4 linked regions of the Elephas maximus indicus genome follow. The protein of the gene in region 4 interacts with the protein of the main gene of each other region in a pairwise test. Links are inferred from orthologs where the notes say so. Each region holds a gene or a part of one and is shown on either strand. Other genes may lie near its edges. The genes, in order: CD81, SLC15A4, interferon-induced transmembrane protein 3-like and GLP1R.

Region 1 (7,918 bases), on a different chromosome or scaffold from region 4:
TTCCAATCCATGAACGCATTATGTCTCTCTGTTTATTTAAGTCTTTTTAAATTTTTTTACCAGTGTTTTGTACATCTTTTGCCGTATTTATGTCTAATTATTTCACATTTTGATGTTACCGTGAATGGCATTTTTTAGTTCAGTTTCTGATTGTTGCTAGTACACAGAAACACAATTGATTTTGTATATTGAGCTTTGGTCCTGCAGCCTTGCTAAACTCACTTACTAGGTATAGCAGCTTTTGTTGTACTCCAAAATTCAGCGGCTTAGAAACAGCAAGTATTTATTTCCTCACAGTAGCTGTGGGTCAGGAGTCTGGGCGCAGCTTAACTGGTGCCTCTGGGTGAGGGTGGGGCCTGGTGGCGAAGTGGTTAAGGGCCCAGCTGCTAAGCAAAAGGTCGGCAATTCGAATCCACCAGCCGCTCCTTGGAAACCCTATGGGTCAGTTGTACTCTGTCCTACAGGGTCTCTATGAATCAGAACCAACTCCCTGGCAATGGGTTTCTGGATCAGGGTCACACACAAGGTTGATTTCTGCCCCTTGGTCTCAGGTTCCAGTAGGGTTTGGCACGGCACTCTTAGTAACCCTGCCTTTATTTAAAATCTTGATATTTCAGTCTTCATAAAGTTTTTGCATCAATTTGAACTTTTAAAAGAATTACATTAAAATATTATTTATCTTGATCGGATAAAGGGGTAATGAGTTGATGTTAATAATGTTAACCTGGAAAAGGAGGGTGAGAATGGTCACACAACTTGAAGAATGTAATCAGTGTCACCAAATTTTACATGTAGAAATCCTTGAACTGGTATGTGTTCTGCTGTGTATATTCTCAACCACAACAAAAAATAAACTATAAAAAAAAGTATTACTTATCTCGATTACGCAGTTTTTTGATGCCTGCTTAAATTTCACGACTGAGGCAAACGCCTCAACCACCCCAAGCTCTTCCCAGCCTTGAGCATAAATACCAGGATAATTGCGGCCATTTCGGAAGCTCCCACCATAGCATCCTCTTATTTTTATCATATTTGTGTCTTTACATTTGAAGTGTGTTTCTTGAGGGTAGCGTCGAGATGGATCTTGTTTTACCACAAGTGGATGGCTTTAACAAACAAACGTATTTCCTGACATTTTGGAAGCTAGAAGTCTGAATTCAGGGTGTGGTTCTGGGGGAAGGCTTTATCTCTCTGTCGGCTGTGGAGGAAAGTCCTTGTCTCTTCTGAGCTTCTGCTCCTGGGCAGTCTTCATGTTGCTCAGCATTTCTCTTCTCCCATCTCTGCTTGCTTCTGTAATTTGCTCTTCTTATATCTTGTAAGATATTGACTCAAGACACACCCTACACTAATCCTTTCTCATTAACGTAACAAAGACAACCCATTCCCAAATGGGATTATACCCACAGGCACACAGGTTAGGATTTACAACACTTGTTTTGGGGACACAATTCAATCCCTAACATTAACTATAACTCTTTGCTTTCTTATTTTGGGGGTTGCTTTAGAGTTTATAGTTTACATCTTTAAGTTATTGGCTACGCACAGGCATTCAGTTGTGTGCACCGTGACTGATTACAGATAACCCTGGGAAGAATGGGAATTTCAAAGCGCTTAATTGTGCTCATGAGGAACCTGCATAGACCAAGGGGCAGTCGTTCAAACAGAACAAGGAGATACTGCGTGGTTTACAGTCAGGAAAGGTGTGCGTCAGGGTTGTATTCTTTCACTTATTCAGTCTGTATGCTGAGCAAATCATTCGAGAAGCTGGACTACATGAAGAAGAATGGGGTATCGGAATTGGAGGAAGACTCACTAATAACCTGGGATATGCAGATGACACAACCTTGGTTGTTGAAAAGAGGACTCGAAGCACTTACTGATGAAGATCAGAGACCACAGCCTTCGGTATCGATTACGCCGCAACACAAATCAAAAATTCTCACAACGGCACCAATAAGCAACATCATGATAAATGGAGAAAAGATTGAGGTTGTTAAGGATTTCATTTTACTTGGATCCACAATCAACAACCACAGAAGCAGCAGTCAGGAAATCAAGCGATGTATTGCGTTGGGCAAACTGCTGCTGCAAAAGAGGTCTCTACGGTGTCACTGTGAGGACTAAGGTGCACCTGACCCAAGCCATGATATTTTCAACCACCTGATTTGAATGCAAAAGCTGGACAATGATTAAGGAAGACCGAAGAAGGATTGATGCCTTTGCGTTATGGTGTTGGTGAAGAATATTGAATACACCATGGACTGCCAGAAGAACGAACAAGTCTGTCTTGGAAGAAGTACAGCCAGAGTGCGCCTTGGAAGCGAGAATGGCAAGGCTTTTTCTCACGTACTTTGGACATGTTACCAGGAGAGACCAGTCCCTGGAGAAGGACATCATGTTTGGTAAAGTAGAGGGTCATCGGAAAAGAGGAAGACCCTCAAGGAGATGGAGTGACACAGTGGCTGCAACAATGGGCTCAAGGGTCACTATGAGTCAGAACCTACTGGAGGGCACCTAACAACAACAACAACTGATAACTAAGACACTGGTCAAGCTGGTGGGCCACTGGTCAGGGCACTTGAGCCACTTGGCAAGGACAGGAGGTGGTTGGTTCCTCCGGGAAAGCCACAGTGTGCCAGGACCACAAGGTGGCCGCTTCCATCGCGTAGCCCTTTCCCCGTGAGGCCAGGTGTCCTGAGCATAGGCTCCACTGTGGGCCCAGCCGCCTTCTTTGGGCCTCCCAGCTGGCTGCCACACATGTCCATCCAATTGATCTCAGAGAATGCCAGGCATGTGACTCTCCCACCGGAACCCCTAATCGCTCCCACTACAGGTCAGAATCGAAGGCAGCCCCACCCTGGCCTTCTGCCAGGTCCGGATGTCACCTATCTGCCCCAACCACTGCTTCTAGCCCTCTTCCCCTCACTCCCTCTACTCCAGACCACTGACCTAATTTCTGTCCCTCTCCCTCCGCCCCCATGTTCTGCATGGTTGGCTCATTCCAACTGCAGGCCCCATACTGGTGCCCCCTTAAGCCTCCACCAAGCACCTGGGGATTCCCTGCTATCCCCCCCCCCCCACCAGCACTGACAAGGTCAGTGAAGGGGACAGCTGTCTCTGGCACCAGGGCCTCTGGTCCTTGAGGGAAGGGGTCCTGGCTGCCCGTCTGTCCACAGCCAGTGCTGGCACATGGCCTGGCACACAGCAGGCCCCCACTAAACATGTGATACATGGCTGGAGAGGAGAGAGGAGCTGGCCAAAGACAACCTGCTTGGGGCATAGTGGGCCCGGGGCAGTAGGCACAGTGCTGTCACTCCCTTTCCTGAGGGGAGGGAGGGTCAATGTCTCCTATGCTTCCTTCCTCAGAGGCCTCGGGAGGGCCTTCTGCTAAGGACGAAGCCCACCTCTTTGACAGGAAATGTCCCCTGGGGACCACGGGAAGCTGATGGAAGATAAGGGTGCCCAGGCCTTCTAGATGGGTTTCCTTACACTTGAGGCCTGTTCTGTCTCCTTTAAATGAAAAAAATCCTAGTAAGCCCTGGTGAAGGTTTAGATACTTTTAGTACAGTATCACTTAGCTATGCACAAACATAAAAGTATGACCTCTTTGTCCTGGTAGCTCTTATATAAGCACGAAGCCAAAACAAATTCGTTTTTTACCAAGAGAACTGGAAAGGTCTTAGGACGGCAAGCAACAAGAGAGAGCGGCTCTGTGGAGGGATGCGGCAGCCACTGGGCATCCCTGGCTATTTAAACTTACAATTAAATGCAATTTAAAATTCAGTTCCTCGGTTGCACTCGCCACGTTTCAAGTGCTCAGGAGTCACATATCCTGGGTTACCGCAGATACGGAACACCACCATCATCCGGAAAGTTCTACGGGCAGCGCTGTGATGGATGGTGTTCGGTGAAATGAACCGACTGCCGGCGCGCGTGGCAGGGGGAGGCACAGTGAGGTCTGCTTCTCCAGGCCTGGCCCCACTGCCCTCACCACGGGTTTCCTGGTGTAGACCCGTGAGAACTTCATCTGGTGTCACCTACCGCGCGCGCGACCTGGGGAGGAAGCATCCCTGGCTCCCTGAGTCATCCCTCCATTTCTGCAATAGCCCAAAGCAAGAAGCAGGGGTTGGCCCCGCGCCTCCAGGGACGCAGCGGGAAGTGCGGGGCTGGCACCCCTGAGGGGTATCCATACCACCCAGGATGGACATGAACCTCAAAACACTTGGGGGTTCTCCCACAGGTCGCTCGGGCCTCCTAGATACGTGAGTAACCTTTCAAAGAAAGACTCCCCTAACAGCTGTCTGCAACTCCACTTTGTAAGGGGCAAACGCGTGGCAGCCTAAAAGTGTGGCGTTTTGGCCCTTCCGGCCGGCGACCCACTGACTCGGGCCTCACCGCCCACCCCGGGTCCGGCCCCGAAAGCGATTGTGAACTAAGAGCGCTGCGCTCTGTGCATAGTCGCCATCACCTCCTTCTCGGAGCCTTCCTCGATTGTCCAAGGCGCCAGGATGGGAAGGGTCCTCCCCAGGCCCCCGGCTGCGCTCTTCGGCGGACGTTGCATGCCTGTCCTCAGGCGCAGCCTGGCAGCGGTCCCCCGGGGCTCGGAGGGAACAACGGCTCGGCGGCGCCTATCCGCCGCACCGAGGTCTGAAACCCCGAGGTCTGCGTGCAAGGGACGGGGGAGTGGCCGGGGACGCGACCCAGCGTGCGCTCCCGCCCCGCCGCCCTTCCAGGGGCGCCCAGGCAGACAGCACCGCGCAGGCCCCGGGGCACGCAGCGCGGCGGGGCGGGGATCGGGCTCCGGCGGCGGGGCGCGGGGGGGCGAGGCCTGGCGGAGGGGCCCGGAGCTGGACCCGCGGGGGCGGGGCTGGGGCGGGGCCACGGTGTCCTATAAGCGGCGCGGCGCGGGGCGCGCGCCCGGCCAGAGAGCGAGCGAGCGCGCAGCGGCGGCGGAGACGACCCCAGCGCGCACCCGGCCAGGCTTCCCAACGCCCCCGAGCCCCCAGGCCCCGTGCCTCCGCGCCTAGTGCGCCCCGCGCCCCGACCCGCGCCCCGCGCCCCGCGCCCGCCAGGCCCTCGCCGACCGCCCAGCCCCCGCCGCACCGCCGTCAGCGCCCGCAGGCCGCCAGCCGCGCCGCCATGGGGGTGGAGGGCTGCACCAAGTGCATCAAGTACCTGCTCTTCGTCTTCAATTTCGTCTTCTGGGTGAGCGGCTAGGGGCCGGGGCGCAGGAGGTTGGGGCGCGGGGGGCCGGGGCGCGGTGGGCCGGGGACCGGGGTGCGCGCCAACCCCGCAGGCCCGGGAGCCTCGGTAGGCCTGGCCAAAGGGCGCAGCCCGCGGGGCCGCCGCTGCGGGCCGCCAAGTTGCAGACACCTGTCGGCGTCGGGGCGGGTGGGGGCCCGGGGTCGGTAGGCCGCGGCGAGGGGGTCGCTCGGGGCCACTGCGCCCCCTAACGGCGGGCCGGGCCGAGGGCCGGGTTTCAGGGCGCCAGCCTTTGGGCGTCCGGGACTCAAAGCCCCAGGGCTTGGGGGCCGCTGTGCTGGCGACCTGGGCGGTTGGAGCCGGCAACCCATAGGGGAGGGGTCCGGGCCGTCTTCACCCGGGGACGGCCCCGCTCGGGGCGGGAGCCGGGGCCACCCTGCCGCGCCGGACGGAAGGGGGGTTCGGGGGCGGGGCTCCTGGCGCTCCGCCCCATGAGCTCATCGGGCCGCCGCCTCTAAATGGGTGGTGGGGAGGGAGCGCTTGCTGGGTAGGAGCCCTGGGGGCCGGCATCGCGCTCCGCCCCTAGCCCAGTCCATCCTCCTCTCCGCAGTCCCCCTCCTAAGTCTCGGGTCGGCCCCGGCAGAGGGCTGACCGGAAGCGCACTGGCCCGGGCATGCCCGTGTGTAGGGGGCCCGCACCGTCTTGGCCCAGCTCTAGGGCGCCGACCCCGCGCACCCCAGCCCCCACCACACACTTGGATTCCAGGGGCTGGGAAGCTTTGAGAGGCGTGGGCCTGGCCATAAGAGTTGGCACAGGGCAGGGGGTATCCGAAAGACCTGGCGGCTCCAAGCTCGGGGCTTGATCCCCGGCGTCGGTGCCGAGTGCTGGCTGGGATCTCCACTTCGGGAAGGGTGGCCCCCATGGTCACTGGACTGCAGCCCCGGTGTGGAGGGTCTCCCGGGTCCTCTCCCTGCCCCAGAGCAGCCTTCTCCTGATCTTCGTGGTAACTGCTGGGGAGTGACCGGTTGTGTCTTTTTCTTTGTTTCCATTTCTGGCCAGTCTTGGAATTGGGGAGGAGGTGGAGATTCCTTGCTGGACTGGAAGGTCTGTGGGTGCGTGCCAGGAGCTCCATTCTACCCTCGGACATTCTCCTTGGCAGTGACACCTCTCTGGTACCCTTTCTAGCTGCTTTGCCGTCCCAGTCTGACCCACCCTTATGGCGGGACAGTGTCCCGGGTGAACTGTGATTCTCAAGCTCAGGCAGTGACCAAAGGAAACCAAACCCAGTGCCGTCAAGGTGATTCTGACTCATAGCCACCCTATAGGACAGAGTAGAACTGCCTCATAGAGTTTCCAAGGAGGACCTGGTGGATTCAAGCTGCTGAGCTTTTGGTTAGCAGCTGTAGCACTTAACCACTGCGCCACCAGGCAGGGGCAGTAAAGTTGTAAAACGGCCCCTGGAGCAGACTGGGCTGAGACATCGGCTTCCCGTCTGTCTGGCTGGCTGGCGTGGGTTTGCTTCAGGGAGGTATTTGGGAGGGGCGCAGGGGAGGGCAGAGGCTGGACTCACTCCCAGCTGGGAGTGAGGGTCACATCCAGCCTGCTGGGGCCGGGAGCTGACCTCGGGAGGGTACCCTGGGGTTCCTGGAGCCCAGGGCCTCTCCCCAGGGCGGGGAGCAGTGAGGCTGCTTGTGCTTACCCTGCCCAGGACGGCCCCAGGAGCCTTGTAGGAACCAGCAGTGGTCCAGGGTAGTGGGCGATGGGTAAACTGAGGCCCTTATGCCCCTCAGCTGGCCCCTGTGTGAGCCGGACTATGACCCTGGTAGGGAAGGAAAGGGTAGGCAGAGGAGGGGGCTTCTCAGAAGTGGGTTTTTGTTCCTGGGGAGTCTGAGGGGAGTGGGCCAGGCTGGGCATCACCCTGGATAAGCCCCTCTGTGGCTGATCCCCAGACAGGCCTGCCCCAGGATCGTGGCCTGGGTGAGTGTGGTGGTTTCCCAGGCAGCGGGTGCCCTTCTTTCTTTGTTGTGACTCAAGGAGACTTTCCAAGGCTCCTAGCTGCTCCACTCCCTCAGAGCATTGAGAGCTGTGTCGGCCCACAGTCACCCCCCCACCCTGCCAACACCACCCTGAGTGCCCTGCACCCCGCCCCCCCGAGTCCTCTGCATCAAAGCCAAGGGTGGGCTCCTCAGAGTCAGCCTGGGCGGGGTCTGTTCCTCGGCTGCCTCACCCTCTAGAGTGAGGTCCCAGGGACCCCCACCGGGGTTTGTTGGGGGATTAACTAATATGATAAGTGCTGAGCGAGGGGCTTGGAACGGAGCGGGCTTGGGAGACGGGTCTGGGCATGGTGGCCCGGCAGGGACTATGGCAAGGGAGAGCCTTCCCATCAGTCTAGGAAGCGCCCTGCAGGTGAGTGGTTCTGACTGCCTAGTGGGTCAGCGTTCCGGGAGCACTAGGGTCGTGGGGGGCCAGGAAAAGCGGCTGAGGTCCTTTTCCAGAGAAGTTCCCACACGGGGGGAGGCAGATAAAGGACTGGCATGCTTCTCCTTTGCTGCTGCAGAAAGACCTGCCCGCCTGCACCCCACATCTGTTACATCCCACCAGCCTGCACCCCTGTATCCATGTGCTGTCAACTGCCTGCACCACACATCCGTGCTTTCCCACCCACCTGCACCCCTGTATCCACGCGCTGTCAACTGCCTGCACCCCACGTCCGTGC
Region 2 (7,104 bases), on a different chromosome or scaffold from region 4:
ACCCAACCACACCTATGCCGTCCCATCACAGGATGCACAGAAATCCACTCCATCCTGGTGGGCTGGTTACAGTGCAGACTAAGTAATCAGACCCGGAATTAAACCCCTGGCTTGACCACTCGCTAGCTATGTGACAATGATCTCACTCTTTGCCTGTTTCCCCATCTATAAAATGGACATAAAGATTCACGTGAAGTGCGAATGAAATCAAGTGTGTAAAACATGTGCCATGCTGCAGGAAAACAGTTAAGAATTCAATACATCAGGCAAGTGTTACTCTCATCGTCACTGTAAGGCTTCTCTCTGCTGTGTGGCTGGGAGAGCCTCCCAAAGTTTCCATAAAGCTTGGGATCTGATTCAAAGGTCAGGTTTTGAATACTGGCTCAGTCACCTACTAGCTGTGTAACTTTAGGCACGTTACTTAACCTCTCAAGCCTCAGTTTCCTCATCTGTAAAATGGGCACAATAACGCAACAATCAAGGTGTTATGTAGACTAATAATAAAGCACGCAGCACAGTGCCTGGTACTCAGTGAGCCCGCAGTAAATGTTATCTAGGGCCAGGTAACAACATAGTTACTTAGTACAAAAAACGAGGAGTCACCTCTGATGCACTTAGTACAAAAAACGAGGAGTCACCTCTGATGCCTCTTTCCCTACTACGCACATAGAATCCAAGAGCAATTCCTGCCCATCCTACCTCGGTAAATGATCCCAAATCCATCTACTTCACTCCATGTCCACTGCCTCCATTCTAAGTCCAAGTCTCTCTCTCTCTCACCTGGCCAGTTTTAACAGACTCCTACCTGGTATCCCTGCTGTCATCATTTTCCATACAAATGTACAACGGACGCTGGCAAACTTTTCTGTAAAGGGTCAAATAGAATTATTTTAAGGTCTGTCAATTCTGCTACCGTATTTGAAGGCACCCACAGTAAAAACATTTAACAAAACAGGGATGGGAAAGGCTGTGTTCCAATACAACTAATGGAGTTCGGAAGGCACATTTCATGTAATATTAGCTTGTTATGAAATACTCTTGTGATTCTTTTTCCCACTTAACAACATAAGAACCGCTCTCAGCTTGTGGGCCCTACAAAAACAGGAAGTAAAACAGATTTGGCCCGGGCCCACCGGCTAGTTTCCCTACCGGCTCTACACTTAGCCAAACTCTTAGGAACAGTTCGACCCTATAAAGGCTTCCTACAATACACAAAACACTTGACTCTTTATCCCACCTTACATATTCTGACCCCTGCCTAACAATCCTCTTTCCAGTTATCTTAAAACCGAGAGCAGCAAAAACTGGGACCTCCCTTCTCTTCCTGGCCCCAGGTACTTTGCACTTGCTGATTCCCCAGTTCGGAATCCCTCCGGTCCCAACTCAAAAGCCCCCTCCATAGTGGCCAGTCCTTCATTTAAATCCATCAATTCCTGTACATCACCCTAGGTTGGCTGCTTCCCAGCACCTATCACAACCAGTCGTTACTGCTTTTCCACTTACTTGTTCCCTTGTTTCTCACTAGAAAGCAGCTGCATGAGAGCAGAGGACACTGTCTTGTTCTGCCTATTAAGAGCAGCCTTCGGGTTTTGGCGACCCTCGGGGGCTGGCACAGGGCAGCCTTCGGGTTTTGGCGACCCTCGGGGACTGGCACAGGGCACCCGTCGGGGTTGGGCGACCCGCGGGGGCTGGCACTGGGCAGCCGTCGGGGTATGGCGACCAGTGGGGGCTGGCACTGGGCAACCGTCGGGGTGGGGTGACCAGTGGGGGCTGGCACTGGGCAGCCGTCGGGGTTGGGCGACCGGCGGGGGCTGGCACAGGGCAGCTGTCGGGGTTTGCCACCCGCAGGAGCTGGCACAGGGCAGCCGTCGGGGTTGGGCGGCCCTCGGGGGCTGGCACAGGGCACCCGTCGGGGTTGGACGACCCGCGGGGGCTGGCACTGGGCAGCCGTCGGGGTATGGCGACCAGTGGGGGCTGGCACTGGGCAACCGTCGGGGTGGGGTGACCAGTGGGGGCTGGCACTGGGCAGCCGTCGGGGTTGGGCGACCGGCGGGGGCTGGCACAGGGCAGCTGTCGGGGTTTGCCACCCGCAGGAGCTGGCACAGGGCAGCCGTCGGGGTTGGGCGGCCCTCGGGGGCTGGCACAGGGCAGTCGTCGGGGTTGGGCGGTCCTCGGGGGCTGGCACAGGGCAGCCGTCGGGGTTGGGCGGCCCTCGGGGGCTGGCACAGGGCAGTCGTCGGGGTTGGGCGACCCTCGGGGGCTGGCACTGGGCAGCCGTCGGGGTTGGGCGACCCTCGGGGGCTGGCACAGGGCAGCCGTCGGGGTTGGGCGGCCCTCGGGGGCTGGCACTGGGCAGCCGTCGGGGTTGGGCGGCCCTCGGGGGCTGGCGCAGCGCTTGCTGCCCGGTGGGCAGGGCCGGGCCGGCGGGGCGCGCGCCGGCTCACCTGGTCGGCGCCGAAGGGCGTGATGTTGGCCTTGACGGTGCCCACGCCCAGGCCCACCAGCACCAGCCCCGCGAAGGTGGCGGCGGCGCAGCGGCGCTCGGGGCTGTCGTGGCAGGCGGCGCTGGCGTTGCGGACGGGCGCCGAGCAGTTCTCCAGCAGCGCGGCCCGCAGGGGCCCGCAGAGCGCGGCGCGCGTGGAGGGCGCGGCCACCAGCGGGAAGGCCAGCATGCCCAGCAGGTAGAGCGCCAGGCTGAGCACGATGGCGCCCGCCTTGCCGAGCAGCGCGTCGGCCAGCCAGCCGCCGAACGGCGACACCAGGTAGGTGACGCCCATGAAGAGCAGCAGCGCCTGGCTGGCCTGCGCGCCCTCCCAGGAGAACGGCGCGCCGTTCAGGAACAGCACCAGGTTGGCCGTGACGCCGTAGAAGGCCGCGCGCTCCAGCAGCTCCGTCAGCAGCACGGCGCCGCACGCCGCGCGCCGGCCCGCGAACGCCGACGACGCCCGCCGCGCGCCGTGGCTCCCCGAGCCCAGCAGCGGCGTCCGCTCGCCGGAGCCCGCCATCTTCGCCGCCGCCGGCCGGGCCTCCGCGAGCCCACAGCCACCGCCCTTCTCGCGAGACCTCTCGGGCGCCCTCCCAGTGGGCGGGCTCGCCGTCGCTCAGCCGGTCGGGAACTTCCGGTTCCGCCCCGGAAGCCTGGAGAGGCCGCGGCGCTGCTTCCGGAGGGGGCGGAAGTGAGGCCGCGGCCGTGACGTCCCCTCGGTGGGTGTTTTTCAAACGAAGTCGGAGCCTGATACCCCGCTCTTGCAAGCCCTTACAGGCTGCCAGTGGACCCCTAGGACCCTGACGCCTGCAACGGCCTCGAAGCTCTGCCTGCCCTCCAGGCTGATTTCCCGGGGCTGGCCCCCTTCCCGCTGTGCCCCAGGATGTCCTAGGTCAAGGTTTATCAACCTCAGCACTAGTGACATGTTGGGCCCCATAGTTGTTTGTGGTGGGGACTGTCTTGTGCGTTGTAGGACGTTTGGCAGCATCACTGTCCCGACCCGCTAGGTGCCAGTACCACCTCCTCTGCCCCAGCCCCACTTGTGGCAGCCATAAATGTCTCCAGGAATACTAGATGTCCCCTGCGGACAAAACCGTCCCCTTTTGAGAACCACTGTCCTAGGACAAGCCAAGTTGGAGACCCTTTCAGACCTTCACAGAGCACCCGCTGTCACAAAGCTGGTATGTCACCCTCTGTCAGCTCCAGACTCAAATGTGGCCTCCTTAGGGTGACACTTCTTGACCACAGCATCCAGAGTAGGTCCCGCCTGATCACATCCCCTGGTTTTGGTTACCCTACAGCACCTGTTACAGTTTTATGTTTATTTTTTGTATCCCCCCTGGTTCTGTGTGTTCCCTGGTCCATGGACACAGGGTTCTTAGGTGTCTCATTCCTTGTCATGTCCCCAGTGCCTGGGATGGTGCCTGGCATGTGCTAAAGTGGAGTGTCTCCCCAAAGTGGACACCACCGCAATCCAAGGATTCCATTAGTTCAAATGAGTAAGACCCTTTCCCATTACTTGCTCCATCCTTACCTCCAGCTAAGACCAGGAGGGAACCATTACCTAGGGAAGCGGGGCTTGCCCTGAAGTCCTCTGATAAGGTCAGTCCTGCCAATAAGGTTTGAAGTAGCGTGATTATCTTAAAAAAAAAAAAAAAAAAGTCTGACTATGGACTGATGCCTGACATGGTGCTACGTAAATTAATATGTGATAATTTTCTAATGAGAGGATAATTGAGTGCCAGAACTCGACCTTCCCCACCCTGTCTTTTTTTTTTTTTTTTTTTTTTTTTATAATAACTTTTATTAAGCTTCAAGTGAACGTTTACAAATCCAATCAGTCTGTCACATATAAGTTTACATACATCTCACTCCCTACTCCCACTTACTCTCCCCGTCTTGAGTCAGCCCTTTCAGTCTCTCCTTTCTTGACCATTTTGCCGGCTTCCCTCTCTCTCTATCCTCCCATCCCCCCTCCAGACAAGAGTTGCCAACACAATCTCAAGTGTACACCTGATATAATTAGCTCACTCTTCATCAGCGTCTCTCTCCCACCCGCTGACCAGTCCCTTTCATGTCTGATGAGTTGTCTTCGGGGATGGTTCCTGTCCTGTGTCAACAGAAGGTCTGGAGAGCATGACCGCCGGGATTCCTCCAGTCTCAGTCAGACCATTAAGTTTGGTCTTCATATGAGAATTTGGGGTCTGCATCCCACTGCTCTCCTGCTCCCTCAGGGGTCCTCTGCTGAGCTCCCTGTCAGGGCAGTCATCGATTGTGGCCGGGCACCAACTAGTTCTTCTGGTCTCAGGATGATGTAGGTCTCTGGTTCATGTGGCCCTTTCTGTCTCTTGGGCTCTTAGTTGTCATGTGGGCTTGGTGTTCTTCATTTTCCTTTGCTCCAGGTGGGTTGAGACCAATTGCTGCATCTTAGATGGCTGCTTGTTAGCATTTAAGACCCCAGACGCCACATTTCAAAGTGGGATGCAGAATGATTTCATAATAGAATTATTTTGCCAATTGACTTAGAAGTCCCCGCAAACCATGTTCCCCAGACCCCCGCGCTTGCTCCGCTGAGCTTTGAAGCATTCATTTTATCCCGGAAACTTCTTTGCTTTTGGTCCAGTCCAATTGAGCTGACCTTCCATGTATTGAGTGTTGTCTTTCCCTTCACCTAAAGCAGTTCTTATCTACTGATTAATCAATAAAAAAACCCTCTCCCACCCTCCCTCCCTCCCCCCCTCGTAACCACAAAAGTATGTGTTCTTCTCAGGTTTACTATTTCTCAAGATCTTATAATAGTGGTCTTATACAGTATTTGTCCTTTTGCCTCTGACTCATTTCGCTCAGCATAATGCCTTCCAGGTTCCTCCATGTTATGAAATGTTTCAGAGATTCGTCACTGTTCTTTATCGATGCGTAGTATTCCATTGTGTGAATATACCACAATTTATTTACCCATTCATCCGTTGATGGACACCTTGGTTGCTTCCAACTTTTTGCTATTGTAAACAGAGCTGCAATAAACATGGGTGTGCATATATCTGTTTGTATGAAGGCTCTTGTATCTCTAGGGTATATTCCGAGGAGTGGGATTTCTGGGTTGTATGGTAGTTCTATTTCTAACTGTTTAAGATAACGCCAGATAGATTTCCAAAGTGGTTGTACCATTTTACATTCCCACCAGCAGTGTATGAGAGTTCCAATCTCTCCGCAGCCTCTCCAACATTTATTATTTTGTGTTTTTTGGATTAATGCCAGCCTTGCTGGTGTGAGATGGAATCTCATCATAGTTTTAATTTGCATTTCTCTAATGGCTAATGATCGAGAGCATTTTCTCATGTATCTGTTGGCTGCCTGAATATCTTCTTTAGAGAAATGTGTGTTCATATCCTTTGCCCACTTCTTGATTGGGTTGTTTGTCTTTTTGTGGTTGAGTTTTGACAGAATCATGTAGATTTTAGAGATCAGGCGCTGGTCGGAGATGTCATAGCTGAAAATTCTTTCCCAATCTGTAGGTGGTCTTTTTACTCTTTTGGTGAAGTCTTTAGATGAGCATAGGTGTTTGATTTTTAGGAGCTCCCAGTTATCGGGTTTCTCTTCATCATTTTTGGTAATGTTTTGTATTCTGTTTATACCATGTATTAGGGCTCCTAGGGTTGTCCCAGTTTTTTCTTCCATGATCTTTATCGTTTTAGTCTTTATGTTTAGGTCTTTGATCCACTTGGAGTTAGTTTTTGTGCATGGTGTGAGGTATGGGTCCTGTTTCATTTTTTTGCAAATGGATATCCAGTTATGCCAGCACCATTTGTTAAAAAGGCTGTCTTTTCCCCAGTTAATTGACACTGGTCCTTTGTCAAATATCAGCTGCTCATACGTGGATGGATCTATGTCTGGGTTCTCAATTCTGTTCCATTGGTCTATGTGTCTGTTGTTGTACCAATACCAGGCTGTTTTGACTACTGTGGCTGTATAATAGGTTCTGAAGTCAGGTAAGGTGAGGCCTCCCACTTTCTTCTTCTTTTTCAGTAGTGCTTTGCTTATCCGGGGCTTCTTTCCCTTCCATATGAAATTGGTGATTTGTTTCTCTATCCCCTTAAAATATGACATTGGAATTTGGATCGGAAGTGCGTTAAATGTATAGATGGCTTTTGGTAGAATAGACATTTTTACTATGTTAAGTCTTCCTATCCATGAGCAAGGTATGTTTTTCCACTTAAGTATGTCCTTTTGAATTTCTTGTAGTAGAGCTTTGTAGTTTTCTTTGTATAGGTCTTTTACATCCTTGGTAAGATTTATTCCTAAGTATCTTATCTTCTTGGGGGCTACCGTGAATGGTATTGATTTGGTTATTTCCTCTTCGGTGTTCTTTTTGTTGATGTAGAGGAATCCAAGTGATTTTTGTATGTTTATTTTATAACCTGAGACTCTGCCAAACTCTTCTATTAGTTTCAGTAGTTTTCTGGAGGATTCCTTAGGGTTTTCTGTGTATATAATCATGTCATCTGCAAATAGTGATAACTTTACTTCTTCCTTGCCAATCCGGATACCTTTTATTTCTTTGTCTAGCCTGATTGCCCTGGCTAAGACTTCCAACACGATGTTGAATAAGAGCGGTGATA
Region 3 (5,911 bases), on a different chromosome or scaffold from region 4:
CAGAACAGCTAGGGTCCAGGTGCACCCCAGAGGGCTGACCGCTGGACCTAGGCATCCCAGAGTGCCTGAGTAGGGTCCTCTGCACCCTGTGTGAGGCTGAGGGTGCCTCCTAGTACCGATCCCCCTGTAAGAAGCCGCCCTGCGTCAGGGCTCAGACCTCAGGGTCAGAGGGGCCCCCACTCCAGCCCAGCTGTGGCCCCACCTGAGGCCAGAACCAGCCAGGCCTGAGGGTGTGTCCTGCTCTCTGCTCTGCCTGGTAGTGGGACAAGGTGAGATGACCCTCAGCTGAGGAGCAGACTGGTGACTGAGAGCAGGACCCTCTCCCCGGGCGATATCACAGCACCATTGCACACCAAAAACCAAAACCAAACCCGTTGCTGTCGAGTCGATTCTGACTCATAGTGACCCTATAGGACAGAGTAGAACTGCCCCATAGTTTCTAAGGAACGCCTGGTAGATTCGAACCGCTGACCTTTAGGTTAGCAGCTGTAGCACTTAACCACCATGACACCAGGGTTTCCCCGTTACGCACAGAGGAACTTTACTGAATTCGTTTATAGACAGATCATCGAGTGCAAACTGCTTTAGACAAGAGTTGGGGTGGGGTGTCAACAGGCGGGAAAGCAGGACCAGCTGTGGAGCCTTGGGGGGCTCAGGCAGCAGCAATGGGCAGCGGTCAGTGGCCCCCCTGTGCCTGCCTGAGCTTTGAGATTGCATCGAGGCTTATCATGGCTCCACTGGCCACGAGAGCAATGAACCCGATGGTCACCAGGACACTGAAGAGCAGGGCACAAATGTTCAGGCACTTGGCTGTGGAGGCGTAGCTCTGGGCCCCTATCATGTCGCCCACCATCTTCCGGTCCCTAGACTGAAGGAGAGGAAACAATGAGGGCACCTGAAGCTCTGTCCCCAGTTCAGCCTGCACTGGCCCTCACCCACATCTGAGAGCCCCCCCCCCCTGCCCATTCCATGGAGCCCTAGCAGGACAGTTTCTTTCCCTGCCTGCTGGGGCAGAGACCTCCTCACAATCCCCCAGTCCTTTCAGGGAGCCTTGGGCTTGTCTTCCCTCTGCTGTGCCCCAGTGCCACCCTTCCTTCCTTCCCCCCACCCCAGCCCCAGCCTGGAGCCCTAACCCAAGGGTGAGGGAGGGATGAACTTCTCTGTTAACTCTGACAAACATTTTTTGGGGAAGTTGTGGGAACATGGACTGATAAGGACATCCTCAAGCACCCTCTGGGGTGTCATTGCTGATCTACGCTGTGAAAGACCCCCCTCCCAAGACACAGACACTCACAAGGAAGCACACATAAAATACACGCGCAAGAGAGACACACACAAAAATATTAACGCAGGGACACACACAGGTCCTTTCTCCCCGCCAGGCCCATCTGGGGGGAGCGCACTCCAAGTGCTCACTCCGCCCTGGTGAAGAATCGCCCAGGTGCCCGGCACACACATGTGCACATGTGTAAACACGGACACACACACGTGCACATGCATACACATGGACACACACACATCCACAAAGGCACACACAAGAACACACACAAACACCCTTGGTAGCCCCAGAACCAAGTGGGCAGAGGGCACCCCTAGCGCCCAAGTGCACCCTCCTGGAGAATCCCCTGGTGTCTGGCACACACACACGCACCTTCACGGAGTAGGCGAAGGCCACAAACCCTAGGCAGAAGCAGTTTATACAGATCGTGTTGAAGAGGGACCAGACGATATGATCCGGCACCGAGGTATCACTGCGGATGTTGATCACGGTGGATGTCACGGGCGCCACGGGGCCAGGGGGCACTGAGCAGTGGGGAGCCCCCAACATTTCCACCTCATGTTCCTCTTTGAGCATCTCGTAGGCTGGAGAGAGGCTGGTACCTGCGCGAGTGAAGAAGTGTTGAGAAGTGTGGTTCATGGTTTCCTGAGACGTCCAGCAGTAGATGAGGGTCTTGCGTGAGAGGTTTAGCTTCCTGGCCTCACTTCTCTCAGTAGTTTCGATTTCTCAGAAGTTTCTATTTCCAGGCTGAAGAATTGGGGTGGCCATGGGCCAAGGAGGCGGGACATATTTCAGAGGCTCGAATTACTTCAAGCCTGAGAGGAGGGGAGGGGGAGGGAGAGTTAGGGCGCTGTCCTGGAAGGGTTTCTGTGAGTGTTAAAATGAAGCAATACATTTAAAGTACAGCCAAAATGTGCCTTGGAAGCAAGAATGGTCAGACTTCCTCTCACACACTTTGGGCATGTTATCAAGAGGGGCCAGTCCCTGGAAAAGGACATCATGCTTGGTAAGGGGAAAAAAAGGAAGACCCATAAGGACAAGAATTGACATAGTGGCGGCAACCGTGGGCTCAAGCATAACAACTATTGTGAGGCTGGAGCAGGACCAGGCAGTGTTTCATTCTGTTGTACGTAGGGTCTCTGTGGGTCAGAATTGACTCAACAGCACCTAACAACAACAGGACCATGCATTGCACAGGGCAAGTTATCAATAAATGTTTATTATTATTACAAAGAAGTTCTTGGGTGACCCAAATGTTTACGCGCTCTACTACTAGCTGAAAGGTTGGCAATTGAAAATCACCCAGAGGTGCCTTGGAAGAAAGGCCTGGTGATCTGCTCCTGTAAAGATTAAAAAAAAACAGCCTTGAAAACCCTGTGGAGCACAATCCTACCCTGATACAAGTTGATTCAGAATCAACTTGATGGTAACTAATATTGACAACAACAATGAATGGAGCCTGTGTTAGCCTTGTTGATGTACACTGAGGAAGGAGCCTCCTTCTAAAATCAGGAAAGGTCCTTCTTGCCAACATGTGTCTTGGTTTGGAGGTGGATGGGGCAGGGTGGTAGGTGGGAAGAGGAGCAACCAAGTGCACATTCATCAGTGGATGGAGGACCTTAGGTAGTTTGAAGAGACCTTTTAATTTTCTGGAATTGAGTCCTCCTCTCCCATGTTCAGCCTGTTTGTTTCCCATTTCTGCTTCCCATTTTGGTGAGGGTCTTTGTATAAATTACAGGTTATCTGACCTCACTCATGAAGAACTAGAAAGAACCTGGAGAAACTCAGGCAAGTTTCTGAAGCTCAATTTTCCCATTTCCAAGATGAGTCAATTCTGTCCTCTACTATCTTTACTATTGTTACCCGATTAGGGTCCATGCCCTGGAGCAGTCAAGCCAATGAAACATACTTCAAGCCAGAAAGAGTGAGATGAATACATCACCAGGGACCCAGCAGCAACACAGGCTGTCTCTATGGAGTCCCAAAGAGCAGTTTTACATTAGAGCTTATAGAGAATCTTACAAGGGTTACAGGTGTCTTCGTTGTCCCCTGTCAGACATTTCTTTACTAGGCTGAAGACATACATATCGGATACCTGGGCTCCAACTTTCCTGTGGGGGTTGTATGCCACAGGTAGTCTAGATAGAACAAAAGGTTATTTGCATCAGTTTAAAACACAGAACAAAGTCATTAACATTTGGTGGAAACAAAGTCATTAACAGAGGTATGTGAGGAGGCAGGCAGAGTTAGAACAACTTATAGGTTTATCATGGCCTTGGTTATGTTAAGCTCTCAGCTGCCCATTTTGAAAAAGGAGAAAACATGCTGGGTGATATTGGGGTCAACACTATCTTCATCCCTAAAGTACTCCTCATGGGCTTAAGAACTGACAACAGAGGATAGCGAGTTGGGAGGCTCTCTGGGCTGCTGTGGTTTCCCTTTTCCTGAATTTCCACGAGTATCCCCGTGGAGCACAGGTTGTCTTTTCTACCTGGATCCAGCATTTAGGGATATGGTCGCACACTGTAGTTTTAATTACTCCGTGCATCGTCCTTCCCCTCTTCAGGATTCATGGGTTTTCACTCTTCTGTCCCAGGTCTTAGATTCTGGTCCACCTTATAAGAACTCTGTAGTATCTATGCTTAATTCTCATAATCACAAAGATTTGACCTAAAAAAAAAAAAAAAAACCGACCTACATAACCACAATGTCTTTATTTATTTTTTTTAATTGTGCTTTAGGTGAAAGTTTACAGCTCACGTTAACTTCTCATATAAAAATTTACACAGGTATTGTTATGTGACACTGGTTGCAATCCCTATAACGTGACAGCACACTTCCCCTTTCCACCTCAGGTTTCCTGTCCCTTCCTGCCTTCTCATTCTTCCTCCGGACATGAGCTACCCATTTTGTCTCATGTATCTGCTTTAACTAAGACGCACACTCTTTGTGAGCATTATTTTATGTTTTATAGTACAGTCTAATCTTGTCTGAAGACTGAGTTTTGGGAATGATTTTAGTTCTGAGTTAACAGAGCGTCTGGGGGCCATGACTTCGGGGGTGCCTCCAGTCTCAGTCAGACCATTAAGTCTGGTCCTTTTATGTGAATTTGAGTTCTGCTCTACACGTTTCTCCTGCTCTGTCAGGGACTCTGTTGTGTTCCCTGTCAGGATAGTCATTGCTGGTAGCTGGGCACCATCTAGTTCTTCTGGTCTCAGGCTGATGGAGTCTCTGGTTTATGTGGCCCTTTTGTCTCTTGGGCTAATATTTTCCTTGTGTCTTTGGTGTTCTTCACTCTCCTTTGCTCCAAGTGGGTTGGGACCAACTGATGCATCTTAGATGGCCACTATAACCACAATATCTTTATTCCACCACCAGCATCAGGAAGGTCCCATGTATACTTGCATCTGATCCTGTGCAGGTACCATCCAGGGACTTCTCTTAAGTAGACTTCCTTTGTAATAACAATAAATATTTATTGATAACTTGCCTTATGCCAGGCATGGTCTACATACTTTGATATATTATTAGTCCGTATCATTTTCAGTATTTATGAGCTCAGAGACAAAGTGATCTAAGGTCATGGGTCTAAGCTGGAAATGATCCTGTACAAAGGAGACATTTGGCAATAACTGGAGATACGTTTTGGAGCCCTGGTGGTGCCGTGGTTAAGAGCTTGGCTGCTAACCAAAAGGCTGACAGTTTGAATCCACCAGCTGCTCTTTGGAAACCCTATGGGGGCAGTTCTACTCCATCCTGTAGGGTCCCATGCAGCAGAATTGACTTGATGGCAAAGGGTTTGGAAATATTTTTCATTGCCACGACTTGGTGATGAGGTTCAGGGTGTAGCAAGGGTAACTAGTGCCCAGAGGCAATCTCTAAGTTGGGCCCCCCAATTTCAAGATGAACAGACATTGACAGCTGTAACATGTCAGCAGAAACACTTCCCTGCTTCTTGTCCAACTGTCTCAGTCAGGTGCCTTTGATACTCTTGGTACCTTGGAATGTCACTCCAGGCCTCATCTGGTACCCCCTGGGACTTCCACCTGGGTGCAAGGGCCCCTCTCTGCCCCTCCCCACCCACGCTTCAGCCCAGCTCCCACACATCTGAACCCTCAGCTGGTGATTCAGTCCTGGATGGGGGCCTGCTGCTCTGTTGGGTGAGGGTGAGCCTGGCAGTGTGCACCCTGGGTTGCATAAATGGCTATGCATGGGACTCCTAGCTGAAAGATTGGAGGTTGGAAGCCACCCAAAGATGCCTCAGAAGAAAGGCCTTGTGATCTACTTCTGAAGGCTGCAGCCTTGAAAACCCTATGGAGCACAGTTCTACTCTGCACACATGAGGTCACCATGAGTTGGAATAGACTCAGTGACAACAAGAACAACAACACTAGGTAGGCTGCTTGCATCTTATGAGTAGAGCTGTTGCTCAACCCCCTACCCAATGCAAGAGAGCCCCCCACAACTAAGCATTCTCTTGCTCCAATTTGACAGTTGTGCCAAGGTTGAGAAACACTCGTTTGTTTTACCACCGATGAGCCAAGAATCACCTAGATCTGTTCTAAAAACTTTGTAAAGTATTATTTTGACTATTAGAGAAATTTATTATGTCTCATAGTAAGCATGCATTAT
Region 4 (8,003 bases):
CCTGGCCCCCATCCTGGCTCCATGTCCGGGAGGGAGCCCGGTTCAGAACAAAGTCCACACTAACCATTGCACAGCCTGGGCTCCATCCACCACACACTAGCATGCAGAAGCATGGGACCTCTGACAGCCCACTGCACATCCTATTTCTGCAGCCCTGAAGAACATTTCCAGGTTTCTGAGGACAAATCTGGGCAGAGAGGGTGGAGCATTGAGGGGCTGCGCAAGTTGGGAGGCACTCAAGTGACTAAAGGTGCCGTTTCACAGTGCCAGCATTTCAGTCTTCTCCACAACTCTCTGTGACAGAGCTTGTGATCCCTATTTACAGATGAGGAAACTGAGGCTAAGGGTGGTCAAGTGTCCCACCCAAGATTACCAGCTAATAGCAGAGCTGATACATGAGCCCAACTGTGACTGGTTCTAACTTGAGTGTCAGAGGTTTGCCTGTCTCCTCCGTAGGTCCACTTCCTCACAGGGGTGTTGGGGAGGTAGGAAACAGGGTGGGGAAGTAGCTCTTCTCAGCCACAATGGAGTGGCTGAGGTCACACTCTTTAGAGGCCATCTTCCTGCCCCCAGGGAAGCTGCTTCCAGTCTTGCCAGACCTCACAGTGAGCAGCTCACTCTCAGTCCCTCCTAATCCACCTGAATATAAGGGTATTATGCCAAGACCCTAGCCCTGCACCCCTTTCTCCTCCTGCTCCTAAATTGCTGCACCACCTTGTATAAGGAACCCTTTTTCTGAGATTTTGTCCTCCCATCAGTGATGTGGAAGGAGTAACCCTAGTCCTGCCGGCTTCATGGACAAAAAATAAAATGTAAAAGTCACTACTTTTTAAAAAACCTTATATGCATGCATGAGGTTTTGTAATAATTACTGCTGCCAAACCTCAAACGTGCCTGCTGCTCAGGTCTCTCGCGGTGGCCAGAAATGCTCATTGCCTCCCAACATGCGCAGCCCCTCAATGCTCCGCCCTCTCTGCCCAGATACTGTCCCCGCATTCCCTCCTCTGTCACCCTAGTCCTTCCTGTTATGCCCTGATATTCTAAGCTTCTGTCCTAAGCCCAGGGCTGAGGAATGAGGGGGGTCAGAAGAAAGGAGAGGCTCAAGGAGCCTGAAACCTCCGGAAAAAAGAACTTTGGGAAGAACTGACAGGCTGCCTGCAGAATGCTTCCTCTTCCCTTAATCCAAACCAGATCTGCAGACTTGGCCTGCAGCAGTATGGGACCAGGAAGCAGGGCACCCCCCCCGCCCCCGCACCCCCAACCCCTTCCTGTCCCAACCTATAAAAACAAAACAAAAAGGAGGTAAAGGTGAGAAAGAATGTGGTAATGGCTCTGCAGTCCTGGCCCCCAAAAAATCCCAACCACACAAGCTTCCAGTGGAAAGCCAAGGTTGGAAGGTGGGGAGAGAAGGTGCCAGGGGAGGGAGGGTGTCTGTTGGGACTAGGATGGGGGAAAAGATGGGAGAGAATGAGTCTGCACAAGAATTTGGGGGACTGAAAGTGTGTTGGCACCCTGGCTGAGAGGGACATCTGTCCACATGTGCATTTTTGGCCAGGGGTAGAGTCCGCCTTCATCAAGACCAAGGCAATGGCCCACCATCCTGCCTCCCATCTGTTCTGGGACAAATTTCAAGGCCTATTACAGGTCCACTTCCCAAAGATCTCAATTCTTCAGGTCTGGGGGAGGCAGGAAGGAGCCCTGGTGGTGCAGTGGTAAAAGTGCTTAGCTGCAAACCAAAAGGTTGGTGGTTTGAACCCATCAGCAGCTCCCCAGAAGAAAGATGTGGCAGTCTGCTTCCGTAAAGATTTACAGCCTTAGAAACCCTGTGGGGCAGTTATACTTGGTCCTATAGGGTCATTGTGCATCAGAATTGACTTCACCGCAATGGGTAACAGGGGGAGGCACGAGGAGGTGACGGAAGGAGACAGTTCCTTGCAACGGAATAGGCCACCCAAGCCTGTACCTCCCCTCTGCTCCAGCATCTCACAGCATCTTTGGACAAGCTCCCTCCCCAGACACAGGCTGACCCTGTGCTGCCTCTAGCCCAGGAGTCTAGAAAGGCAGGAGAAGGGGTGCACCTGTGGCCTGCTCTCTGATGGCATGGCAATGAGGCCAAGGTGCCTGTGAGCCCCCAGTATGCCCTCCAGTGTGTGCTGCCAACTAGGGAAAGTGGGGGGCCCGCCAGGTGTGTGACAAGAGCCTGGATGCTTCTGGAAGAGTGCAGAGCCTCCCGCGTGTTTGCTGCAGGGGTTGTGGGGGGGGCGGTGATGACGAGATGCAAGTCCCATCTGGGAGGTCACAGGGAAGGACAACAAGCTGCCACCGTAAGGTCCCCGGGGCTATGAGTCAAAGGCTGTGCTGGGGGGCTGGTGAAGGGGACCAGTGCACTGTCTCTACCCACGCGCCCTCTCTACTGCCCAGAGCTTTCTCTGAGTCTCTGACCGCAGGGCAGGGGTGGGGGTGGGAGGCACTGCGGAGGAGGCCCAGGGCATACAGGAGGGGCGTCTCAGGTGCAGGGGTCCAGCGCTGGGCTGTGCCAGAGCCGCCGGCACCGGTTTACGAAGAGGAAGGCGGAGTTGGGAAAGTGGTTTGGGGAGGACGAAGACCTGCCACAGAAGTCAGCGCCGGCGACCGCGGGCAGCTGGTGCCTGAGAGGGGGGCCCGGGAGGCGAGGAGTGGGCGCCTCACCCGGGCTGGGGGAGTCGTCCTCGGTCCAAGCCCCTCACCTCGGCCTCTCAGTCCACGTATCCGACTCTCCAGCCCCTTCCCACCACCCCCACCCCAGAGGCTTTTGGCTCCCTCCGCCTGCGGTCGCGGAGTTTCGCTCAAGTCCTGGCCGCCCCTGCCAGGACACTGCGCCTGCAGCCCGCAGCGCCACCTCCCTCTCCCCTGTCCCCCCCAGGGTCCGCAGGGCTCACCTGGGGGCGGGGGCCGGCCCTGCCCACCGCCCCGAGCAGCAGAAGTGCGAGGCGGAGCGGGCCGGGGGTGCCGGCCATGGCGGGGCGCTCAGGACTGGGCCATCGGTGCCACCTGCGGAACCGCGCGCGGCGACTGATCCCGTGCGGGCGGGCGGCGGGAGCAGGGGGAGGAGCCGGCGCGGGGCCGCCCCGCCCGCGGGAGGGGCCGGGCGGGGTCTCCCGGCTGCCTCCCGCCCCGCCCGGCCTGGCCCCTTGGCCACCCCTGCCGCTCCCCAAGGCCGGTCCCGGGCCAGCAAGGTGTCCCGGCACTGCGCTCCGGACGTGCGCCGCTCGGGTTTATAAAGCGCTGGAGCCGGGCCGCCAGCTCTGAGCGCGGGCGGTGCGCTTCGCCGGGTTTCGGCCACAAGGCTAGCCCGTATCCGCATCCGCACCCGCACCGGCCCCCCCCCGGACCTCCTCCCAGTCTGCCCTAACCTCAGGGTATCTCAGAGGAGCAGATGGGACTTGTCCAAGGTCACACAACCCGTTGGACCCCTCTAGGAAAGTTATTTCCAGAGCTTCGTGTGACGAATGACCCACCCAGTGGGGTTACCTTCGTCTCAACGATGCGCCCCCCACCCCCCCCCCCCCGCTTCTCCCAGGCTCTGTCACAGCCAAGGAGGAAAGATAGGGAGGCAACAACAAATGGATCAATGGAGCCTGGAGGTGGGGAGGGTCGAGAACTTCCCCTTCAACTGGGAACTTTCGGAATTGCAGGAGGAGGATGAAGGAGGCCTTTCTCTAAGCCTCTCCCACATCCCACCCCTTGCAGCTCCCACGCACCCAGCTCTGAACCACCAGACTCTTACAGCCCTTGTGTCTTATAACTGCGTCTTCTAACCTGAGTGGCTGTTCTCTGTGCCTCCTGTGTCTTTGTCTCCCTGCTTTATGGGGGCTTTGCATTTTACCCGCCTTCCTTTCTACACCCACCCTCACAGTGCAGGACAGAGTAGGTGCTCGGGCCACTCTCAAGTTCTTCTTATCGCTGGGCTTATTGGGAGGGAGTTCTAAGAAGGCACTGAGTTTGCTAATGCCCTTGAAAAGTGGAGGTGGTAAAAGGGGATCCCCCCTGCAAAGAACACAGTTCCAATAGGGTAGCAGGCGCACTCAGCCCCGGACCTGCCATGGGTATGTCTGGAACAGTCCCAGGGAAAGGGAGTCTATGAGAGTAGCTGCCCCTCAGGGAGAAAACAGAACATCTCAAAGCCCTGAGGGAGGCTGGACCTGTTTGAGACCAGTGAGGGAGACAGCCAATGAGAGAAGCCACAGGCTTCCTTTTTGTGAGAAGGATCCTTCACCTCTCCAGGGAGCTCCACCCCCATTGCCTGGGTGTCATGTATTCCCTCCCCTACCCAGAAGTTAGTGTGACAGTCACCTTCAGTGTACCACTTGGAATGAGGTTGTTCAGCTTCGACTGACAAAACCAAACCAAACCAAACACCCAAATGTGTAACCAAGTGCTCTCCTATAAAGCAAGCCCAGAGACTCAGCCTAGGATTGGAGTGGCCACTCATTGATCATCAGGGTCCACGGCTTTTCTAGCTGGTTGCCCTGCCCTTCTCTTGGTCCAAGGCTTCCACCTAATGACCCAGAGTGACTGCTCCAGTCCCAGTCATTACATCTAAGTTCCAGCCAGCAGGAAGGAAGAAAGAGGAGGTGCCTGAAAGTGGCAGCCACCAATTCCACTTCCACCGGTAAGAACTTGGTCCCATGGGCATTCCTAGCTGCAAAGGAGGCTGGGAAATGTATACTTTATTCCAGGCAGCCTGAGCAAGGTTAAATGTTGGGACTTTCATTACTGTTGTTGTTGTTGTTAGTTGCCATCAAGTCAATTCTGACTTATGGCGACCTCATGTGTGTAGAGCAGAACTGCTCCACAGGGTTTTCAAGGCTGTGATCTTTCAGAAGCAGATTGCCAGGCCTGTCTTCTGAGGTGCCTCTGGGTAGGTTTGAATCGCCAAACTTTTGGCTGGTAATTGAGTGCTTAACTGTTTGCGCCACCCAGGGACTCCTTTTATTACGCTGGAAGAAGGCACAAATGTGGATTTTGGGAAACAACTTACAGGCTCTGCTATACCAGGGCTGGGGTGGGCAGAGAAGAGAGGATTCCAGAGAGCAAACGAAGAGAAGGGGCTGGAGAAGGTATTCAGAGCTGGGGCCTTTACCACTGAATTTATCAACCTCCAAATTACATTTATTCAATAATATTCATTGAACACCTGCCATGTGCCAGACACTGAGCTAGGTCCTGGGGATATAGGGTGATGCAGTCCCTGCCCCCATGGGAATTACAGTCTCATGCAAGAGAGAGGCATTAAACACATAATTTAATTATGTGAGCCAGTTATATTACAACTGTGGTAAGCATGGGTGGAGCAGATGCTGTTGAAGTCCCAACCCTTAGCACTCACTATTTCTCTCTGCCTGGGGGCTTTCTCTGACTCAGAGGAGCTTGCTTGGGTTCAGCCAATGCTGGGCATGCCTGATGTTCTGGGAAATAACACCCCTATGAGCAGCTCTCAACCAACGAAGGACAGGAGTTGATAAATATCCTAGGTCCTCCTCCCTTGGATTGGACAACTCAGAGGTGGGTACCAAGTGGTGTCCCAGAGGTCCTGACTGCAACTGAGCTCAGTTGCCCATAGTGGTAATCTGCTCAATGACGCACCCAGTGTTGGCTTCCTTCCCTTTCCTGGCTCACTTTCCCGGCTCACTTTCCCACCAGTAGGGGACTAGTCCTTCTGGGGTCACCTCCCAAATAAAAATAAACCACTTATCCTTAAATATTTGTCTTTTTTTAGGAAAGCCCAGCCAAAGACAGTGGGCATATGAAAGGATCCAAGGACTGAGGGGCTGGACCTCTGAGCCTAGAAGCATCTACTCAACTTTCCCATATATACGTGTGTATACATATATGTATATGTATGTATGTATATGTACATATATATGTATAATTTATGCAGTTTTGTTGTTTTTGATAACATACACAGCAGAACATACACCAACAGTTTGTACCTGTACAATTCGGTGACATTGATTACATTCTTCAAGTTGTACAGCCATATTCACCTTCCTTTTCTGAGTTGTTCCTCCCCTGCTGACATAAACTCACTGCCCTATAAGGTTCCTATCTAGTCTTTCAAGTTGCTATTGTCAATTTGATCTCATATAGATAGATCTTAAAAGAGTGTAATGCTCAAGGCAGAGATTCTTTACTAGTTAAGCTAAACTACTGTTTCATTTTAAGAAGACTTCAGGGGATATTTTCGATTTAAAGTTTAAAGATTATCTCAGGGCAATAGTTTCAGGGGTTCATCCAGTCTCCATGGCTCCAGAATATCTGGATTCCATGAGAATTTCAAATTCTGTTCTGCATTCCCCCCCCCCTTTTGATCAGGATTCTTCTATAGAATCTTTGATCAAAACATTAAGTAATGGTAGCTGGGCACCATCCAGTTCTTCTGGTGTCATGGCAGAGGAAGCAGTTGTTCACGGAGGCAGTTAGCTACACATTCCATTTCCTTCTCCTATTCCTGACTCTCCTTCTTCCTCTGTTGCTCCAGCAATTTTCTTTTTAATACCTGGGTGTCCAAATGCCTCTGCATTTTCTCTGACTCTACTTTCATCTCAGCACACACTACCATAGATTATATCCGTCTTCTTCCCTGGGTAGTGCAAACAGTTAACGTGTTCGGCTGCTAACTGAAGGCACCCGGTGCAGTGCTTGGCACATAGTAGGTGCTCCGTTCTTAGTGACTCTTGTTTAAAATAACAAATAGAATAAATTGAAGCACATACTGTCACTGTTGTGTCACTGTTGCTCACTGTCCTAGTTATAGCATCCCTCGTTAGATTGTGAGCTCCTTGAGGGAAGGGCTGTTTCCTTGCTCATCTTTGGATATCCAGCATCAGCACAGACCATGGCACGTAGTGTGGTTGTTGTTAGCTACCAGCGAGTCAGCCCATGCATAATGGAACAAAGTGCTGCCCAGGCCTGAGCCACCCTTATGATCAGCTGCAGAGTGGACTGCTGTGATCCATAGGGATTTTTAGACGTAGATCACCAAGCCTTTCTTCCTAGTCTTTCTTAGTCTGGAAGCCCTGCTGAAACCTGTTTGGCATCACAGCAACACAGGAGCCACCATGGACAGATGGGTGGTGGCTATACATGAGGCGCATAGCAGGGGCTCAGTGAATGTTTGCTGCAACTGAAACGTTATCAATCCAAGTGTTTGGTGAAGTGTCTGGCTCATCGTAGGTGCTCACAAACTTACTGGAAGAAGAATGGGTTATGAGAGAGGACAGAGCATATACTTGGGAGTACACTCACCTCCTTTCCCCACACTTACCAGGGCCTTTCGCTCAGGGCCCCTGGAGCAGAGCAGAGGATGAACTCCCTAAGAACAGAGGTCTGAATGGGATGGAATACCAGCTGCTAACCCACTCACAATAACCGTGAAAATGACAACCAGAGCTACCACTTCCTGGGCCCCCACTGTGAACCAGGTGCTCCTGGTTGCTTAGTGTGCACTGATCTCATCAAGTCCTTCCAATAAAGGCAAGTATTATGCTCATTTTATGGACGAGGAGACTGAGGTTCAGGGAGGTAAAGGACATAGCTCATGGAGCAGAGCTGGCATTCATTCCAGGTTCACCTGCCCCCAGAGCTGGTGCTGAAGCTCCCGAGGAGCCGCTGAGTCTGTGGCACCACAGAGGGCGCAGGCACCAGCTCTGCCAGCCTGACCGGACAGCGCCTCCCTGTGGCTCCTTCCACCTCAGGGCTAGAGCGCTGGGTTCCTGCTCCTTACACCCACGCCCAGAGACTCTCCTGTGGGCCTAGGGTGTGGCACCATGGGTTTCCACTAAGAAGATATGGGTTTTAGATTGTCTTCAGAAATGGGTCTGGGAGTACTTGATGTGTCCATCTGAGGAAAAGAAGCTGCAAGGCCCTGTCCCAGTAGGGATGGCCTGCAGAATCCTCCTCTGTCCCTTAGTAGGAAGACTGGTTAGTGGGCAAAACAGAAACTTTCACTTGGGGGCAGTGAG

What was found.
Region 1: the proteins of GLP1R (region 4) and CD81 interact in a protein complementation assay, tested with the Homo sapiens proteins (2 studies listed by BioGRID). The link is inferred for Elephas maximus indicus from reciprocal best matches to the Homo sapiens genes GLP1R and CD81.
Region 2: the proteins of GLP1R (region 4) and SLC15A4 interact in a protein complementation assay, tested with the Homo sapiens proteins (2 studies listed by BioGRID). The link is inferred for Elephas maximus indicus from reciprocal best matches to the Homo sapiens genes GLP1R and SLC15A4.
Region 3: the proteins of GLP1R (region 4) and interferon-induced transmembrane protein 3-like interact in a protein complementation assay, tested with the Homo sapiens proteins (2 studies listed by BioGRID). The link is inferred for Elephas maximus indicus from reciprocal best matches to the Homo sapiens genes GLP1R and IFITM3.

Annotation. Positions count from the first base shown.
Region 1 is NC_064825.1:135,506,749-135,514,666, reverse strand, and holds the start of CD81 (CD81 antigen), read left to right. Parts: upstream 1-4,915; 5' UTR 4,916-5,139; coding exon 5,140-5,205; intron 5,206-5,780; exon of another isoform or gene 5,781-7,485; coding exon of another isoform or gene 7,486-7,918. Other genes in the region: uncharacterized protein LOC126081186, read left to right, coding at 7,486-7,918. UniProt on the Homo sapiens protein: Structural component of specialized membrane microdomains known as tetraspanin-enriched microdomains (TERMs), which act as platforms for receptor clustering and signaling.
Region 2 is NC_064840.1:3,145,305-3,152,408, reverse strand, and holds the start of SLC15A4 (solute carrier family 15 member 4), read right to left. Parts: upstream 3,006-7,104; coding exon 2,445-3,005; intron 1-2,444. UniProt on the Homo sapiens protein: Proton-coupled amino-acid transporter that mediates the transmembrane transport of L-histidine and some di- and tripeptides from inside the lysosome to the cytosol, and plays a key role in innate immune response.
Region 3 is NC_064846.1:178,013,270-178,019,180, reverse strand, and holds interferon-induced transmembrane protein 3-like, read right to left. Parts: upstream 2,008-5,911; 5' UTR 1,919-2,007; coding exon 1,652-1,918; intron 869-1,651; coding exon 677-868; 3' UTR 517-676; downstream 1-516.
Region 4 is NC_064819.1:102,896,959-102,904,961, reverse strand, and holds the start of GLP1R (glucagon-like peptide 1 receptor), read right to left. Parts: upstream 3,013-8,003; 5' UTR 2,997-3,012; coding exon 2,919-2,996; intron 1-2,918.